Styela clava: one gene and its partner. The protein of the gene in region 1 purifies or fractionates together with the protein of each later gene. This does not show direct contact. Links are inferred from orthologs where the notes say so. Each region holds a gene or a part of one and is shown in the gene's direction. Other genes may lie near its edges.

The links.
Region 2: the proteins of muskelin-like (region 1) and zinc finger MYND domain-containing protein 19-like purify together in Homo sapiens (affinity purification with mass spectrometry; 3 studies listed by BioGRID and IntAct, with this or other methods). This does not show direct contact. The link is inferred for Styela clava from reciprocal best matches to the Homo sapiens genes MKLN1 and ZMYND19.

What each region holds. Positions count from the first base shown.
Region 1 is NC_135256.1:3,514,300-3,523,098, reverse strand, and holds the start of muskelin-like, read left to right. Parts: upstream 1-4,949; 5' UTR 4,950-5,070; coding exon 5,071-5,147; intron 5,148-7,085; coding exon 7,086-7,251; intron 7,252-7,654; coding exon 7,655-7,790; intron 7,791-8,368; coding exon 8,369-8,478; intron 8,479-8,799. UniProt on the Homo sapiens protein: Component of the CTLH E3 ubiquitin-protein ligase complex that selectively accepts ubiquitin from UBE2H and mediates ubiquitination and subsequent proteasomal degradation of the transcription factor HBP1.
Region 2 is NC_135254.1:72,872-81,810, forward strand, and holds the start of zinc finger MYND domain-containing protein 19-like, read left to right. Parts: upstream 1-5,242; 5' UTR 5,243-5,405; coding exon 5,406-5,456; intron 5,457-8,634; coding exon 8,635-8,801; intron 8,802-8,939. UniProt on the Homo sapiens protein: May be involved as a regulatory molecule in GPR24/MCH-R1 signaling.

The sequences.
Region 1 (8,799 bases):
CGTTCCGGTGTCCTCCTTTCTTGGTACGCATACTTCAGGAGTACGGAAACTTGACTGTAATCACATACATCTTAATCTTCGTTCTAGCTGCTGTGTTTCTTCAATTGGTTTCGTCCATTTGTTGTTATTATTTTGGCTGCAGTACTTTGCGTATACATTTGCTCAAATTTTTTGAATACTTTCTCAAGTAGTGTTGTTACATCTTGACATTCAGTTACATTGTTTAATAGGTATTCACTTATGAATGATTTGAGAATATTTTTCTTTTATTTCAAGTGTCAGATGTTCAATGATGGGATGATGGAAATAAATTTCAGCTGCTTGCATGTGTTGAGATAGCCTTTGTATAATCATTGACTCTTAAAAAAGTTATTTATAGATTGGTTTGATTAATTTCTTGAGCAGAGCCTTGTGTTTCTGGGTTGCATTATTAACAGAAATTGCTGCTCTACCTATGCATTCTAGATTGTTGTCACATTCACAAAAGCTGCAGTGCGCAAATCACTGGCCCTTCGTTTCGTTCGACGCCGTTGAATTCTTTCTGGTAATCATCACAGCAAATTTTTAACGTTCACTCATTTTATCTCTTATGAAGTTCCAGATCTAAACTAAATTCAAAGTTTAAATTACTGGTATTTTAATTTATAAGGTTAAAAATAAGGACACACGTCAAAATAAAGATGTTTCTTAGAAACAAGGGCAAAAACATTTCCTAAAATAAAGACCTTCAAAATAAGGACAAATTCTAAAAATAAGGACGTTGTGGCAGCCCTGATTATAGCCATGGGTCAAGTGGAGAAAAAACTTGTGTGAAAGCTGCAATACTTGAGATGGAGTGAGACCAAAATGCCGTGCTACTAAGCGTTTTTTTTATATATATAAAGTGCAAAGTATTCCTTTTCGTCACCACTTTACCTACATCTGACTGACATTTTTTGCAACGCATCGCATTTTTGATGCCTTGCTTTCTTTTGACAAGGAAGTTGTCACATCATCCTGGTCAGTTGCAAGACAGACTGTGTCTTCATTTTCACAATTATTTGTTCATTTTATCGAATCTCTTCGTCCTTCAGCAAATATTTCGATCAGTCATCAATGAACAGGGCTAGTTTTCGAGCTGTGATGCAGGAGCGTCGTCGTCCCTAAGCATTTAGTCTGAACAAAACCAACCGTGACGCCCGCCACTTGGAGGTGCAACATCGCCTTTGTTTGTTTATTATACGGCGAGCGGAGTTGGACATCTAGTAGTAGTGTATATTTACGGTCAAACCACACTCATGTTGGCGATTATCTTAATCATTAACACCACACACATTTGCATGCTCTAAGTACACAGCGTAACTTCGACAAAGGATGAAATCTTTGTATACACGCGGGCACAGCATATTGTACTATAGCAAGTTAAAATGTAGGGGAGAATCCAAATATAGCTCGACTGGTCACCTGATTACAATAATTCAAAGATAATCACAAAGAAAATCCTCACAAAGAATCACACCATCCAAATAGAAAACAAAAGTACATGCATGTGGACAGCGCCGGATTAACCATTAAACCAGGGGTCAGCAACCTTTTGTCCCTAGCGGGCCAAAATAAGGGTTGCAAGTCATTGGCGGGCCGCACATATTTTTAGAAAGTTTAAACCCGAACTGATGATACTTTTTATAATGATGATAAATCATTTTATATAGTTTATCGGTGTTTATTAAAATATTACGAGTTCACCAGACGACTCAAACTTTAAAATGTTCGCTTATTTTTCGGCTTCAAGTATCATATTAGCCTTGTTTATTAAAAATAAACACTGAAACCTATTTATTGGACACGAAATGGGCCTATGAGTCGTTTTCTTAAATTGTCGTTGTCTTTTCTTTCTAGTATTCACCTTGTTGCTGCATTTTTGTTTTAAAATAAAAATTTTCTCTTCAACAATTAAACCAATGAACTATTCACATTATGTGACGGTTCCACGATCGCATTTCAACGATCCAATGGTCAGCGAAGTTTTTTGATGAGGTAGACCAGGGTGGTCCAAACCCTGTCATGCTGATACATTCCCTGCGGCTCACTGAACAATTTAAGCGTATATTTGTATCTAATGGAGGAACGTTTTTGAGTTTTTTTTTTAGCTATTCCAACTGGGGTTGGGATCCCGAGATTCAAACCCCTTTTCTAACGCTTTGTGCTTTTATTTTAGTAAAAACACTCCTCTGTTTTTGAGCGTGGGCCATGTGACAGTGGTGACGAAATTACTTACGTTTCTAAATTACTCAATATAACAATACGTAATAAAATGAGTGTCGAAAGAAAGGTGACATAGAGAAATCACGGCGGAAACGTATTTCCTTGCCCATCACACAGTGTCTGGTTAGATTTCAAGTAATATATATCTGTCACGAAAGAATATAATTTGAGGCGACATTAAAAAGTGAGATGCGCAAAATACAACGGTAATTCTCGGGAATTAACTTTAAAATAACGACGGCTATATACATTTTCTTTAAAAGAACGCCACCCATGCAGCATAATAATGGTCTGATTAGAACGGTAAACTCTCGTTGTTTATTAAATTTAAAGTGGGTTTTCTCCGACTTGCGGCCCGCGAGACCTCCTCAAAGGTTTTGCGGTTCTTCAACCTAGCAACCTTGAAGCACCCTGAGGTAGACTACTAGGTGCCGGTAAAATTTCAAACTACAGTTGTTATACTCATATACTTTGGTATTTCGATTCACGTTGAGACTCGAGGCATAAATCTTTATTGTCACACTTCCTTAGGATTAGAGATCAACCGATATATCGGTCCGATATTGCGTGTTTGCCGATATATCCTATCGGCGGTAAACGGCCGATATATTTATTGGCTATATATGGCTGTTAAAAAACCTAAAAATGTTCGTAAAATTTGTTTATTTACTGTTGGTTGTGATTATTTTTAATGATAATTCACTTATGTGGTTTTTATAATTAAATTACACATGAGAGGGCACCAAAGTCTTCAGTGCTTAGGGCACCAAAGGGGCTTGCTTAATCCGCCGCTGTCTTCATTGGTTGACAAATATTTAGGAACTAGATTTATCTCTATCATGTGTGAGAGTATTACGGGATTCTTCGCCGTCGTAAGATGGTTCACTTGCTCCACCATAAAGTTCATCAATTTGAAACAGATTTACTAGCTAACTGATCACTTACCAGTAGGGGTGGGCATTTCGAATCGAATAGTAAATTATTCGAATCGGTTCAGAGCTAAACTTCGAATCGCCGCCATCTTGTTTTTATCTTTCCGCTAATGGTCGAGGTGAATTCCCCAAGTTTTTTTTCATTGAAGTCATATTTTTTCAACGAAATTCTAACATATGAATATTTCCTGTAGTGAGTTATTCTGTGTGAACGCTCAGTAATCTATCTGAGTGATTTATTCTATGTCTTCAGTAATTCATTTGTTGAGAGGACCAATTACTATATTAAGATCGCTTACAATTATATATTTTCAAGTATACGAGATTCGATTCGATTCGAAAAAATTATTCGATTCGATTCTGAAATCACAAGGTATTCGAAAATGCCCAGCCCTACTTACCAGACGAGAGGCACTGATACGCCATGTGATTAAGCCGTCTTATCGGTTTCCTTATCCGCGGAATAAATATGCAAGTCCTATTCTAATGTATTGCAGTACAAAATGCGATTTGCTGACACATAATCTGACTTTTTCATCTAGGGTGGAGTAAAAAAAATCATTACCTAATCCTGATTCTGTAATAAGTTTATTTATTTTGTTTTTAACAATTATTTTATCGTTTATTAAGCTGATTATGAAGTCCAAATTAACTTATGCGTATACTTATAATTAATTTAATGTTGTCATCCGTAAATTTATTCAGAAACCAGTCTGTGCTTTTATTTTTGAACAGGTGGCCAGAGACATTATATAAGTATACAATGGGTCTGGGGTGGCCGTGACCTTGCTTAGGTAAAACAAGAGAGCTATGCTAAATTATATGGACATGGGTGTACGGCTCTGTTCGCCATTCCTCATTAGGAACTCTTAGCAAAGCAAGAATTTTGTTACACACCACCGACGTTCGATGAGCACGTGACCAAAAGAATAACAAGAAAAGTTGCCAGCATAAAAAACAAGTTCTTTTTGTGTAAAAAAACGAATTCCACGGTGCTATCAGGAATATTTGAAATAAATGAAAGTAATAGTCTTCTAGAATTTTTTTTTATCTCTAACCACTAAAAATTTCAGAGGAATTGGTCCAGTAATCAAAAAAGTGATTTTTTAAGATTCCCCACTAGGTGTCCGTAAAAGCAAAACAATCCATAGGTCCGTGTTCATTGAAGTGGGAAATAACCATTGAGGTGTATAGAAATAACTAAAAACAGAGCTATGCTCGAATATATGGACACGTAGTGCCACATAGTGGCAAATTGTGATGGCGTCATATCACACAAAAAACAATAAATTAAAGTAATATCCTTCTAGCAAAGAATAAAATTTTAGACACTGAAAATTTCAACGCAACTGGTCCAATATTCAAGGGGAAAAGGGATTTTTTCAAAACGATATAAAGAAGAAGAGGCCAACAAGAACAAGATTACCAAAAATAGGAAAACGATCTATAGGTCCACTCACGTGTCCAATAAAAGCTATTTACCTTGTGGGAATGTAGCTTAAATAATTCCACACACCACGGCTTGGCGACAGAAAAGAGCAATTTTACATCTCAAAAGGAAAACATATTTGCGAAAAGTGCCGCCGCTCGACAACCAGTATTGGTTTTCAGAGTTTTCTATCAAATGCGTTTTTTTTTTATATATTTTTTTAATTTGAGTATACTATGTACATAGCGCGTGTTTTCAGCATGGTGAAGAAATAAATTACTCATTACTGGCCAGTAAAATTAATGACGTCTTGCCGGATTCGACTCCAGTGATCCGGTTTTCCGATTCGTAAACAGGCGTCCTGTGTTTCCGATTTCAGTGCATTCTGCAAATTTACGGCGCTTTGAATGCTTTCCCCGTTTGGTACCGGTACCGTATTTCACCGCCATAAAACAGTCGTTTGTAATGTCTAGCGAGGAGAACGCCTTCTTGAATTACAAGATTTTTAACTGGTCTAGTTATTCTACGAATTATCTGCCAGAGTAAGTTCGTTTTTGATTGTTTTTAATTGTACTTACAGACTTACCGTACGGTACCGTAGTCCAGGGCTACTATTTTTATCGGAGGTCCGCAAACAAAACTTCAAAATTATTTGGGTCCGGTCTTTCCAGAACTGATATTTCGGCATCCTTTAACGAGAATTTCCTCGACCGGCTAATGATTAGTAGCATATTAAAATTGTTTATTATGGTGTTATATTTCTTTTCCTATATCTGTATATACTCAAAACTATGAAAGTCATTTTATAATAGGAAATTCAAAAAGTGGGGCTAATGATCCAAAATAAATAATCAGGTGCGGTCCAAATCCAATACTCGAAAGGTCCGGATTCGGACCGCGGTCCGCCAGTTGAGTAGCCCTGCCGTAGTCTATCGCTGTACGAGCAAAAATTTGCGACATTCAGACATTGGTTTATTTTCTGACTGAATTGCCATTCCAACATTTGCTCTTTAACATTGCTTTGTTCAATTCACCAGCTTACCGTACCAGTTCAATGGTTATTCTAATGTCAGTAAAATAGGATTTACATATTTATCCAGGGGGAGAGGAAAGCCGATAAGACGGCCTATCCATATGGCGAACCACCGCCTCTCGTCCGGTTACCGTTCCAAGTCGGGTATGGGATTAGTTATAGCCTATTGTTCGTTTTCGGAAGCATTGACTTGGCGGTGGAGGAAGCCGTACTGGTAACCCAGTCTGGATTTCATGGCCTTTTTGAACGAGAAATCGGGCGTGCAATCAGAAATTCCCGCGTGCAAATAAGAATTCCTGGCGTGCAATTATAGCTCACGACGTGCAAAACAACTGCACTCGCGTGCAACTGACTTTGACATCAGATACCTCTCAATACATCCGCGTAAAATTACCGGTATCGGATAAAAAATACGTTGAATCAGAGAAAAAATGGACGTTTGACCTTTGACCCCAAACATTATTTCTACAGTTTGTCGCTAATTTTGAGAGTGTTTGTGCGACTTTGGATACCGGTACTGTTCAGTACACCCGCGTAAAATTATTGGATAAAAAATACGTTGAACCAGAGCAAAATGGACATACTTTGTCATTAATTTTGGTAGTGTTTTTACGTAGAATTAATGGATAAAAAATACGTCAAATTAGAGCAAAATGGACGTTTGACCTTTGACCCCAAACATTATTTTCATACTTTGTCACTAATTTTGGGAGTGTTTGAGCAACTTTAGATACCGGTACTGTTCAGTACATTCGTGTAAAATTATTGTATGAAAAATACGCTGAATCAGAGCCGTACTTGGCCATTGGTGCGGAGGCGATCTTTTCGTCCATAACTATTCTCACGGGATTCCTATTTCCTATCATTCAACACGATATGGACCTTTCCCCGAGCATCGACTTCCTTGTTTACTTCGTGACATTGGCCAATCAGCAAGATGCAAAAAAGGACGTAACAATGAGAGGAATTTTTCGCGGGTCAAAGGTTGGGGCGAACCCACGCAGAGTAATTAAAGGTGCGGTGGCGAGCGTATTCCTAACGCTTATCCCGTTGAGCCACACCGCCCCCTCTGTATCACGTTTATGCTGCCATGTACCGCAATCAGAGGTGCATTGGCGAGCGTATTTTTAACGTTTATCACGATGTGCCAAACGGCCGAGCGCCAGGGTTATCCTATCCGCAATTCCCATCAGAACATGACTAGTTTAGAAAGAAAAGAGTCTGCATCTTTTTTTTAATTAACATCCCTATCTTAGCAATAAATATGAGAAATTATTTTACACAGTTGCCATTATGAAAATACCGTTCCATTGTATGCTATTTCTCTCCACCTGGATAAATATGAGTACCCTATTCTCAGATTTTTTAACTGAGAACATTTACCCATTTTGGTAGATAAATCATACCGGTATAAGCATTTGATAATAACAAAACCTCCACATTACAGAAACATTCAACAGAATGAGCCGACAAAACAGTCATCGAGATGGTCATCAAGCTCCAATTCACCCCCTCAGTTTCTACTCCTCAAACTACCACGACCAGCGATCGTTCAAACCATTATGTTCGGAAAATTTGAGAAAAATCATGTCTGTAATATCAAGAAATTTAAAGTAAGAGTTGAAGTTTTAAGAGTAAATGCTCGAAACTGGAATGAGGCAAAAAATAGAAGTCTCTCATTGCCGAAATGTTGCGTCATTGTGCATTTTTACCACAATGAACTGTGTTATTTTTAACTTTAGCACCAACGCCTCCCTCTAAGCTGCGCCGAGAATCCATGCACAGTACTTTCGTTCTGCCGCGCACTGCATAAGTATTGACAATTCTGTGTTCGTTTAAAATGTGTTCTTTTCTATTTTTTCTAATTTTCCGCGCAGACCTTTTTTTGGAGCTTACATAGCCTTCTATTCCGCGCAACTAAGCAAGCTCTTAGAGTGAATGTTGTTTAGCACTAGAGTGTTGTATCGAGTGCAATAAGTCTCTTGAATCAATAAATTTTTGTTGCTGTTGTTTCAGGTTCTAGGGGGAATGGAAGAGGATAATCTGATAGAGTTACTCAAAGGTGGACTAAAGAACGATCACAACCCAGAAACATTCCATATGAAGCATAGAATAGATGGACAACTTTTCCCTTGCAGGTTTATCAAAATAGGTGAGACAATTTAGGTTGTTACTATAACTTCCCGACCTCGACTAGTTAGAACCGATTGAGGGCAATTCAAGATATTACAGAAGGAGTAATCAGGGACGTAGCCAGAATTTTTCAAATGAGAGTTCTGAGATTAATATTTGCCAAGTTTGGTTGTAACAGCTATTGGGTCCGACCGGAAAACGTTTGGGTGTTAAGAATCTTAGGGGGCTAATAAGCGTTTCAAGCTGAGAAAAATTGAATTGTAAGATACAGAAAAATCCTTTTTTTTTTCATTTCAAATCAGGCAGGAGGTTTCGACCCTCAAAACTGCCCTGGCTATGTCCCTGTTTACTATAATAACATCTCAGCCCACAAGTTCAAACTAGCTTGTAATTAAATCCCATGCCCACCACCTCGTGAATAAATTGCGTAGGCAGTGCGGAACCATGAAAAGTTTGGACCTTCCAAAAACAGTAGCTCTTAATCTTGCAATTGCTTGTGCAGTGCCTGTTTTGGAGCAAAAAGCGTTTAAATATGCCATACATATGACAAAATAATGTCGAAATGTGTACTCTAAACTGATGTTTATTTTTTGGTAGTACCACTGTTATCCTGGGGTTCAGCTTTTAACTTCAGTATCTGGTACGTTGAACTGAGAGGCATAGAAGAAACTGAAATCGTTCAACCATGTTTAAAATGGTATTATGAGGTAGGAATTCAAAATATTTATTTGAATATATTCAGTTTTCAAATTTTTGTCTATTTTTATTGTTTTGTTGAATGGAAACGTTCTCATGCAAAGGGAAAATTACGAGAACAACAGAAAATTCTTTTTTCAAAGATAGACGGTACCGATTTATATTATTTATATCTATGTTTGTGAGCCATTCATTGCTCTTGTATTTAATTTAATAATGCATTTGAAATTTCGATTATTTAATGGAATGAATTTTCTGTAATGTCCAGACCCCAGTAATTTTGAAGTGTTGTAAATGGACCTACGGTGAAAATAGTAGAGCAGTGGTTCTCA
Region 2 (8,939 bases), on another chromosome or scaffold:
GACAGAAAGGATCAAATTGATGAACCCTTATCAGTCTTAGTGTTCCCAATGACATTAAACAACATGATAGGCAACTCTGACGTCACTCCATAAGACTATAGGCGAAAGATTGTATTTCATGATACGCTCCAATGCACATATTTCTCGTCGCCTTTCGCGTCCGTTTTCCACTCGCTTTTGCTACTCGGCGTCTTTTTTACGTGTAGTACTTGCCTTTTTGCGCCTGTAACGAAACAAAATAATCTCTATATCTAAGAAGTTTTGCTCACTTGGAAAGCTGGAATGGCAGGCAAGCTGTAAAGAGCAATTCTGGACATCACAGACGTTTTTTTTTATCAGAGAAGATTACAAACGCGATAGCCGAAAGATTTGTTTGGAACATTTTGCAGATAATGACAAAATTCAAAGTTAGTAATTTTAATGTTTGCGCTTAATCATTGAAATTTCATTTGAAGAGGGTGTCATACAAAACTGTGCTGTGATACAATTCCATAACACAAAGTTTGCACCTATCGAACTTGCTTTTGTAGGTGAATTTATTAGACATATTACATATTCAGTTAATCGTAGGTAACATTGCTGGTACATAATGCATCGTAGATAGGTTTGTTTAAATTCAGGAATTTAGCTCATAGCCCACTAATTAATATTATCTTCTATGCAGGAGGTTGCAGGGCTGAATTCAACTTGCAGCCTTACCGATCACCTGACGATGCTCATTTAATTTGACTCGAGCAAGTCTTCTTGAAATGCTTGTGTGGATGGAAACTACCTATATTTTTTGCCTTCCTCCGATTTTAGACAAATTTATGCTCAGGGATTTCGCATATAATTCTCATTGATTGTTGGATGTTTATAATTCCTATTGATTGTGAATTCTGATTATAACAAAGAGTTAAAAAAATTTTTATCTAATTTACTGGCACCTTTTTCTTGTCAATACTCCAAGCTGAGGTAATAAACAAGAAAATACATTTATGTCATCTGGAAGCAAAATATGCACACTAATTAATAGTTTGGCACATTGAGATGATACATCATGACAGAAAATACAAGTTAAAGATATGTATGACCATCACATGGTAATTAAAATAAAATAAAATTAATAGGGGCTGTGGAGTATGAAAAGTTCAAGACAAAGAAAAGAACAAATGTTCATAGCTCATGAACTCTCAATTTTGCCTCCATTGCTTTGTGAAGGCCAATATATTTCGAGTGGCTGAATTGGTTTACCTTTATGATAGCAACGATTTTGTATTTAATATAGCGAGATTATTTCAATTTAATTGAAGTGATATGATTTCCCAAAGCAATGCTTGAATCGTCTAGAATAGATCAGTGGTGTCAAACTCATGGGTTTTCGAGAGCCGCATTGCATTTTGGAAATTGTAAAAAGAGCCGCAAACAGTTTTTGATAATGTATACTTAAAAGATATTTTTAAGATAGTTTTAGTTTGTGACATATATTGTGATGCAACTAAACAGTTGGATTAAGTTTTATTATTTTCTTCAATTTCAAATGCAATTACATATTAATATTTGCATTCCACTATTATTGCAACATTTGCAAGTTACTGTATTTATTATAAAAAATCCTAAAATTCTATGTACAACCATCAAAATCATTTTTGAACAAGCTTTGAATAAGGAAAGAATAATACATACACTAAAAATAACTTAATCTAAATATATGAACCTAAAATTAACAAAAATACTACAGTATAAACTCAATGTTTTAATAATTACATTTGTCCTGACGTTTGGCATCGTTTTTGTGTCACCAGCATACTAAGGCCAGGCTGAAATGATTTTATAGTACCAACTCTAACTTACGAGGCCACATGATCATGGGTTAATCTGTGCAAATGTTTAATTAATTCCGGTAATGCAAAAAAGTTACTTTTATCATTTCATGTATAGATCAGTAAAAAAAAAAATGACAGATTTTTTCGACAAGACATTTCGCACCACATTGCGTGACATAGGATTGCTTGAATTATTATTGATATTGATTTTTAGTAACTAAGTCGTTGTATAATTATATTAATATACAAACACATGGAAATTTTCTGTTCGAAGTTGGTCTTCGAATTTTTCATATTGACTGCTGAGCTTATTCTGTTTTTTCATTGTATTGATGGAAATATGACAAATTAAACAATGTGCTTCAGAATTTTGTGAAAAGCAGAAATGTTGCAACTCCCATTTTCTTCGAAAATGCCACCTTCTTCATGTACTTTGCGTTTAATTTAATCACTCAAGTGTTTTATTCAAGTATTCGTTTGCTAGCTTGGTGTGTATATTCCTAATTGGGTCAAAATGTGGACAAAAAAAATTAATATTCCAAAACTACTTTCAGTAAATTGTTTTCTGTGTGAATATTCAATTTCACTTTAAAAGGTTTGAAAAATCTATTACATTAAGATAAAAAAAAACTTCCAAAATACTATTACAATTATTGTTAAGCATTTGAGGGCCGCACTGGAAGTTCTTTGGGGCCGCGAGTTTGAGATCCCTGGTCTAGATTGAAGTTGTCCAAAAAATATATGTTAGTATTTTATCATGAATGATGATTATACCCCTTCCGGAATTTCTTCTATAGTACTACCAAAAGTTGATGAACTAAATATAACACAGGTGCAGTGAGTTACCCGTAATCCTCATTTTCCAAAGCTGTTTTAAGTATGTCTGGCGTGTTTTGTGCCTTTTTATAAATAAGACCGCTTATGCAATATTACGCTTTGGAATTTTTAGTTATTTTCCTTAAGCCCTGCAGGATGTGAGGGCCATACACAACTCTACCGGAGGGTCAAATGTCTTTGCATGCCTCCATAAGTTGTTTTTCTATTGCAAACATTTATGGAGTACTCTAATTATATTTCTTGGAATCACACTGTCACTGATATGTCGCCAGACTTCTGATATCTCCCCTTCTGCTATAGTTGTCCTGTGAATAAATAATAGAAAATTGAGATTAGACGAATAGTTGAAAGTTTTGCTTTATGTCGGCTTAATTTCTTGATTGATATACTTACTATTTCTGCTATTGCATCTTGTGCTGCAGGAGTCTCACAATGCTTAGACAGGTTTGTCCACAACTTTCACATCTGAAGAAAGAGAGGAGATTTATTAATTTTCGTTAAGAATAAATAAAGCAGTCTATATGATTCAGAATGGAAAAGCTAATAAATCCAATATCTCATGTTTTATGTAAAAAATATTTTACTGAGTTTGGTATATAAACCAACTAATAAAAGGGTTTAGTCAGAAAATTACAAGCATTCGTGGCTCCAAATACTTGAGAAATCAGACTACGACTTCAATACGCAAATAAAAGTGAATGCGTAATAGTATGTTACAATGAGCAGCAATCAACAATGAGTATATATCCTCACTGATTAAAAAAATCTAACTGGAGGTGCATGAACTATTTGAAACCATAAGGTGTAAGTAAATATGTAATTTCGGCAAATGGGCAACTACGTACCGTACTGAATTAATACCTTCGTAGTATTTGACAAAGGCTGGCTTTCCCACATGTACTTAACAGTGCGATGCCCGGGTGTGATATACAACAATAGTATTTACCTTACCTTTTTTCGATTTCTTTTTACCTTAACTTTCCAAAATATCATTAAAATCGACAACAACTGTCAAAGCAGGCACGAACACCATTCGTGCTACGCCTTGAAAGCAGCACACATCCGCTCGTTTTCGTCTCGTCAAGTATGTGCATTGGAGCGTGCTATCGAATACGATCTTCGGACAAAAATGCCGGAGTTGCGCATCATGTTGTTTAATGTCATTGGTGTTCCTTCATTCACAGTCAGAAATTTGTTATCTTATGCGTCGCTATGATTGCATATCAACGCATTTTTTTGATAAAAAAGAGTGAACTAAAATGTAGCACAAATTTAAAAACGGGATATCACAGGCATGAATACACATGCTTGGAATCACCACAGTGTGTACAACGTAATTTTTTCGAGGTAATCTTGTCGTGGGCTACCAAGCGTGACTTTGTTAATCAAGTAAGATTCTGATCCACTCGATCCTCGTCAGTAGCGGTAGTTCAGGGGAAGCGTAGAGATATGGGCAAACATGAGGCCGAGTTCGAACCCCACAAGGTAGAGTTGTAGAGATACGCCAACGGGATAGACGGAGTTTCAGGGGTGGACCAGCAAGCAAAGCAGGCAGTTGAGGGGCAACGAACAAGGTGAACAGAAGCTTCAGGTATGGGCCAGCAGGCAAGGCACGCGGCCGAGGGCATCTACCGGGGTAGGCTGAATCTCAGTGATGAACCAGCAGGCAAGGCATGGCAGACTGAGGAGCCTCAGAGATGGACTAGGCCCAGTGAGAGGAGCCAGGGTTGGGTCAGCAGAAATAGAGGAAGCCAAGAGCAAGCGCGGAGAGAGGGGAGGAGCAGCAAGAGAGAAGAAGGGGAGCAAGAGAGAAGAAGGAAAGTGTAAGCAGGGGCGAAAATGGTTATGCCACGCCTACTAGAACGGCGTTTAGTGCCTAAATGGTAAAACGGCTTTCCTCTTCCCCGGGATAGGCTAAATATGTAAATCATATCCATCATTCCCTTGAGTGAATGAATCCATAGTTTGAAAAAAGGCCTTCTCGTTATCTTGAGAATATAAGGTTTTTTCCATGTAAAATATATGTGATCTCGGTCGATTCTATTTCAAATTAATTACAAATGTACGTAAACATCAGAACTGGAAAAACCACTTTAAAATTGAATTTGTGCTACATTCTTAATGAAACTGGAAATGGTTTGGCAAGGGCAAATGTCATTCGGTTTTGAATTTTCCTATAATTTTATTCTTCAGGATGGCAATTGTGTTGTTATTGCGGAATTTCTCTCTGGTATACTTCTTGAATCACAATCAGGTTTGGCGCACAGGGCAAAGCACAAAAAATACCCTACATTGAAGTCAGGGTGGCGATAGAAGTTTCTGAGTATCTGCACACATACTGTTTCCTCTCTCGTCCGAACGCCTACAATCTAGCTCACCTAACAAGGGTTTCCTGCTGTCATAAAAATAACGAAAATAAATTAGAGTAAAGATTCAATCACATTAATGCGAGGGGTGGTTGAATTAGGATTAATACGTCATACTGTGCGGCTATCTCATTAGAGTAAATAACAGAAATATTGTCGGTATAAACATGTATAACTTCAAAATATTGTGTTTTTGGCCAACAAAAATGTAGGATTGGTATACCAGATTTTAAGTGAAGGATATAAGGGCGTACTTCAGAAAAGATTGACGAGCACTGCCCTGGCCTAGAGTGCACAGAAGCTTTTGTAGGTGGCGCCAAAGAGTTCGCGGCAGCTGTTCGTCGATTCTGTTCGGTTGTTTCGCGCTGAATCGGGTTGCCTGAATATCTTTCCACGAATGGCTAATGTCAAGCTGGGAATTGTGAGACTTGGAAGAGTTGCCGGAAAGGTGAGTCTTATGTATATGGATGATATTGTTTATAAAGTGTATAGCCCCAACATTTTTACGCCAAAGAGTGTTTTTTATTCCATATTTTTGTAGGAAAAGCACTGTTGTGATTAGGGCCTTTTTGAACCTACTGGTACCGATAGTTTTCTAAAACTAGGCCGATACCGATGTTTTCTCACCTACAAATATGGCTACAAGTAACATATTGTGTTTTTCTTGCAAAAGAATTGAAATGTTGAACTCATGCAATGTGTGCATGGCAAGAAAGAACACATATTGTAAGGGCAGGAAGCTTATGAATCTCAATAGCTCCAGTTCAACAGTCTCAGATGTAGTTGAGCAGAGTTTTTCTGCATTGGCTCCATTGCTTTTCTGCATTGGCTCCAACCATACTTGCTCTTGTGTTTTGCTTTGAAATGGCTCTACAAATTATACCCATCTTTTTTTTTTAAATCGGCGAAACCTTTCGACTTAATAATGATAAGCATATCTAACAAATTACGCCACACGAAGTATTGCTATACTTTGCTCTGACCGCTAGAACCAGCCATCTATTGCATATCAATACAAGAAGTTAAATCGCGACTTGAACGACCAAAGCGCAAGGGAAATCCAAGGCCGTCGTTGCGGCGAGAAAACAAAAGTAATAACTGTTCGATTCTGGGTGCTCGTTTGCGCGTTTTGGATGGCAGTTCGTATAGTTTGAAGGGCTCTATTATGTCACTGTGACGTCGTAATGATGTAATTCTTGGATGGTGTAGTCAGGTGGGGGTTAGGATTGAAACATGAATACATATGTTAGGTACGAAACTACATGAGACCCCATTCTATTCTATCAAAGTGTATTTATTGATTGGGACCCACCGAGTGTTTATGTTACACAAGTTTGACGCACGAACGATACCCATGCGTGTCTTTGTCTTTTTTATTTTGAATAAAAGTTTCTGTGTTGAATGAGGGTGAACTGACACATGTATTAAACCTTTATAAAAGTTTTGCCAGTTTCCCATATTTCCCCAATCTTTTGTGTGTTCATTGTTTGGGTTTTGTGTATGATTTTTTTGCGGGAAAATCAAAATATACTTATATACCATTCTGTTTACTAATTCAGTATTTCAATATTCAAGTTCAGTACCACCGCGTTTCCCCGAAAATAAGACCTGCGGTACCCTGAAAATAAGATCTGGCCCGAATTTTAAAATGATTTTAATATAAGGCCTCCCCTTAAAATAAGACCTGGTCAATATCGCGAAATTTTTTCTGACTATGGGTATAGCATGAAATCTCGGGTCTAGTGTAGTTTCGTACCGAAAGTACTGTAAAAGTGCCTAACTTCGGACAGTTTCTAATTTAGGACAAAAATTTTAAACGACCATATCTTGTCTAAAAGGCGTCGTATCTTGCAAATTCCAATTATTATAGGTAGCGCTGTTATATATACATCTATTGTTAATTCTTTTATTGTTGCATGATTATTTTTTTGGTCAGAAAACGGGAATTTTGCCAAAAAATGACTGTCTGGTATTCAACGGCGCAGAGCGTCGCTCATACTTATTAAGCTATCATCGTCAAAATACCATCATTCGGTAGAGGGCGATAGCAAAGTATATACATTATCAGAGTGATCGCAAGATGTTGTAGAAGATTTGAATAAAACCTCTGTTCTGAATTGAAAATTCCGTAAAATTATTGAGATTCCAAGCTGCGTCAAAAGTAACGTCAATCTCATGTAGATCATTTTTTGCTCACTTCTGACACGACGCCACACTGGTCGTGGAAATGAATTTTGACGCCCGACATTGACGCCAAATTAGCATTTTCCGTTTAGATAAAGACGGCGTTCCAGTGTAATATTTTTGTATTTTGTTCGGTCCATGTGTGAATATATGCCAAAATCAACTTAATGAGAATACGTGTCTTACTCGACTTCAAAAATCGAACATATAAAAAAACTAGAAAAATTCCAGTCTATATGTATACTGACTTAACAATTATTTTATGAAATCGAAATGGCAGTTATTGAATACAGCCTGGGTGAATTTTATTCACTCGAAGTGAAAAATTCATTTAATTTCAAACAAAAATCCCGCCACCTATCTCAATGTTAATTAACAAGAGTAAGTTGAAGATTAAACTTTACAATTGGGTTCGCCGTATATTTGATATCGATTTATCAGCGTAACATCAACAAAGCTATCCGTCGAGAATGATAATATTTCAAAGACTTACAATACAAGCCTGTTACAATATTTCATTATAAATTAAAACGGTTTACATCAGATATGTAGTTGGTTAATGTGGTATTATATTGATCTGAATTGACGAAAATAACGAACGAAAGATGTAAACATTATAAGACGATGAAAGTTTCAAATAATGCGTTGTCGTCGCGGCGTTGATTTTATGTTACGACGTCAATCGAGCGTCTTATCTTCACGCAACGACGTGACTAGGTCACCCGCATCGGAAGCCTCTTTCTCTCTGTGCGTTGCAGTTTTGCATTGAGGAAAATGGCTATTCGAAGTTAGGGCTGTGAAGGATAACGGTCAGATGGCAAGAAAAGTAGAATATTTCAATAGTAAAAACCCAAACCCAAAACCCAAAATTTGCAGGGAATATTAATTACTGCACGAATGTTTTACATAGCAATTTTGGCGTCGTTTGGACAATAAATGTTATATTGTACAGTTATTGATGAAAATATGGTAATTTTGTCCGAAGTTAGGCGCTTTCACAGTACTTCTAGGGGTTGTAGCATGATAATTTATGCGTATGTTAATTTTAACCCCCACCTGACTTCGTCATCCAATAATTATCAAACTATCATCTAATACGTTCGGACGATCACTCGACATCGAGCAATCTATTTCTCTCGTTTCTATCAGAAAGTTCTTTATCATAGGTGCAAATGCCATTTCGCGCGGCCGTAGGTAACGGTATACTTTAGCAAACTCTATGGCATGATTAAGACGTTGTAATGACGTATTATATCGATGGTGTAGTCAGGTGGGGTTAGGATTGACATTTGAAAAAATAAACAGGCAACACCCATTAGAAGTACGTTAGATATGAAACTACATGAGACCCGAAATGTGAATGTTTTCAAAGAACTCAAAGCTCATTGGTTTTTAGTTATTGACAAAGCCGAGCTTTTCCTAAAGCGTTTTATAAATTTCAGACAAAATATACAATTCTGGATGAGGACGATATTTCCTTGGTGACAACATATGTGTTTGAACCTCGCATGAATATTGATCATAACGGAAACGGTGTCAGAATATTTGCGTACGCCTACAGCGTAAAACGGGGCAGAACGCATGCAAAACGTGTGCAGGACTTGCTATGGTGAGTTTTTTACTTTTATTAAAAAATCCAAATGAGTCAGAATGATTCATCAAATCCTAAATAAAAACAGAAATACCCTTCTGAATAATATCCTGTTTGGTGAGGCAGCAAAAATTGCACTTTTACCCAGAATCAGGG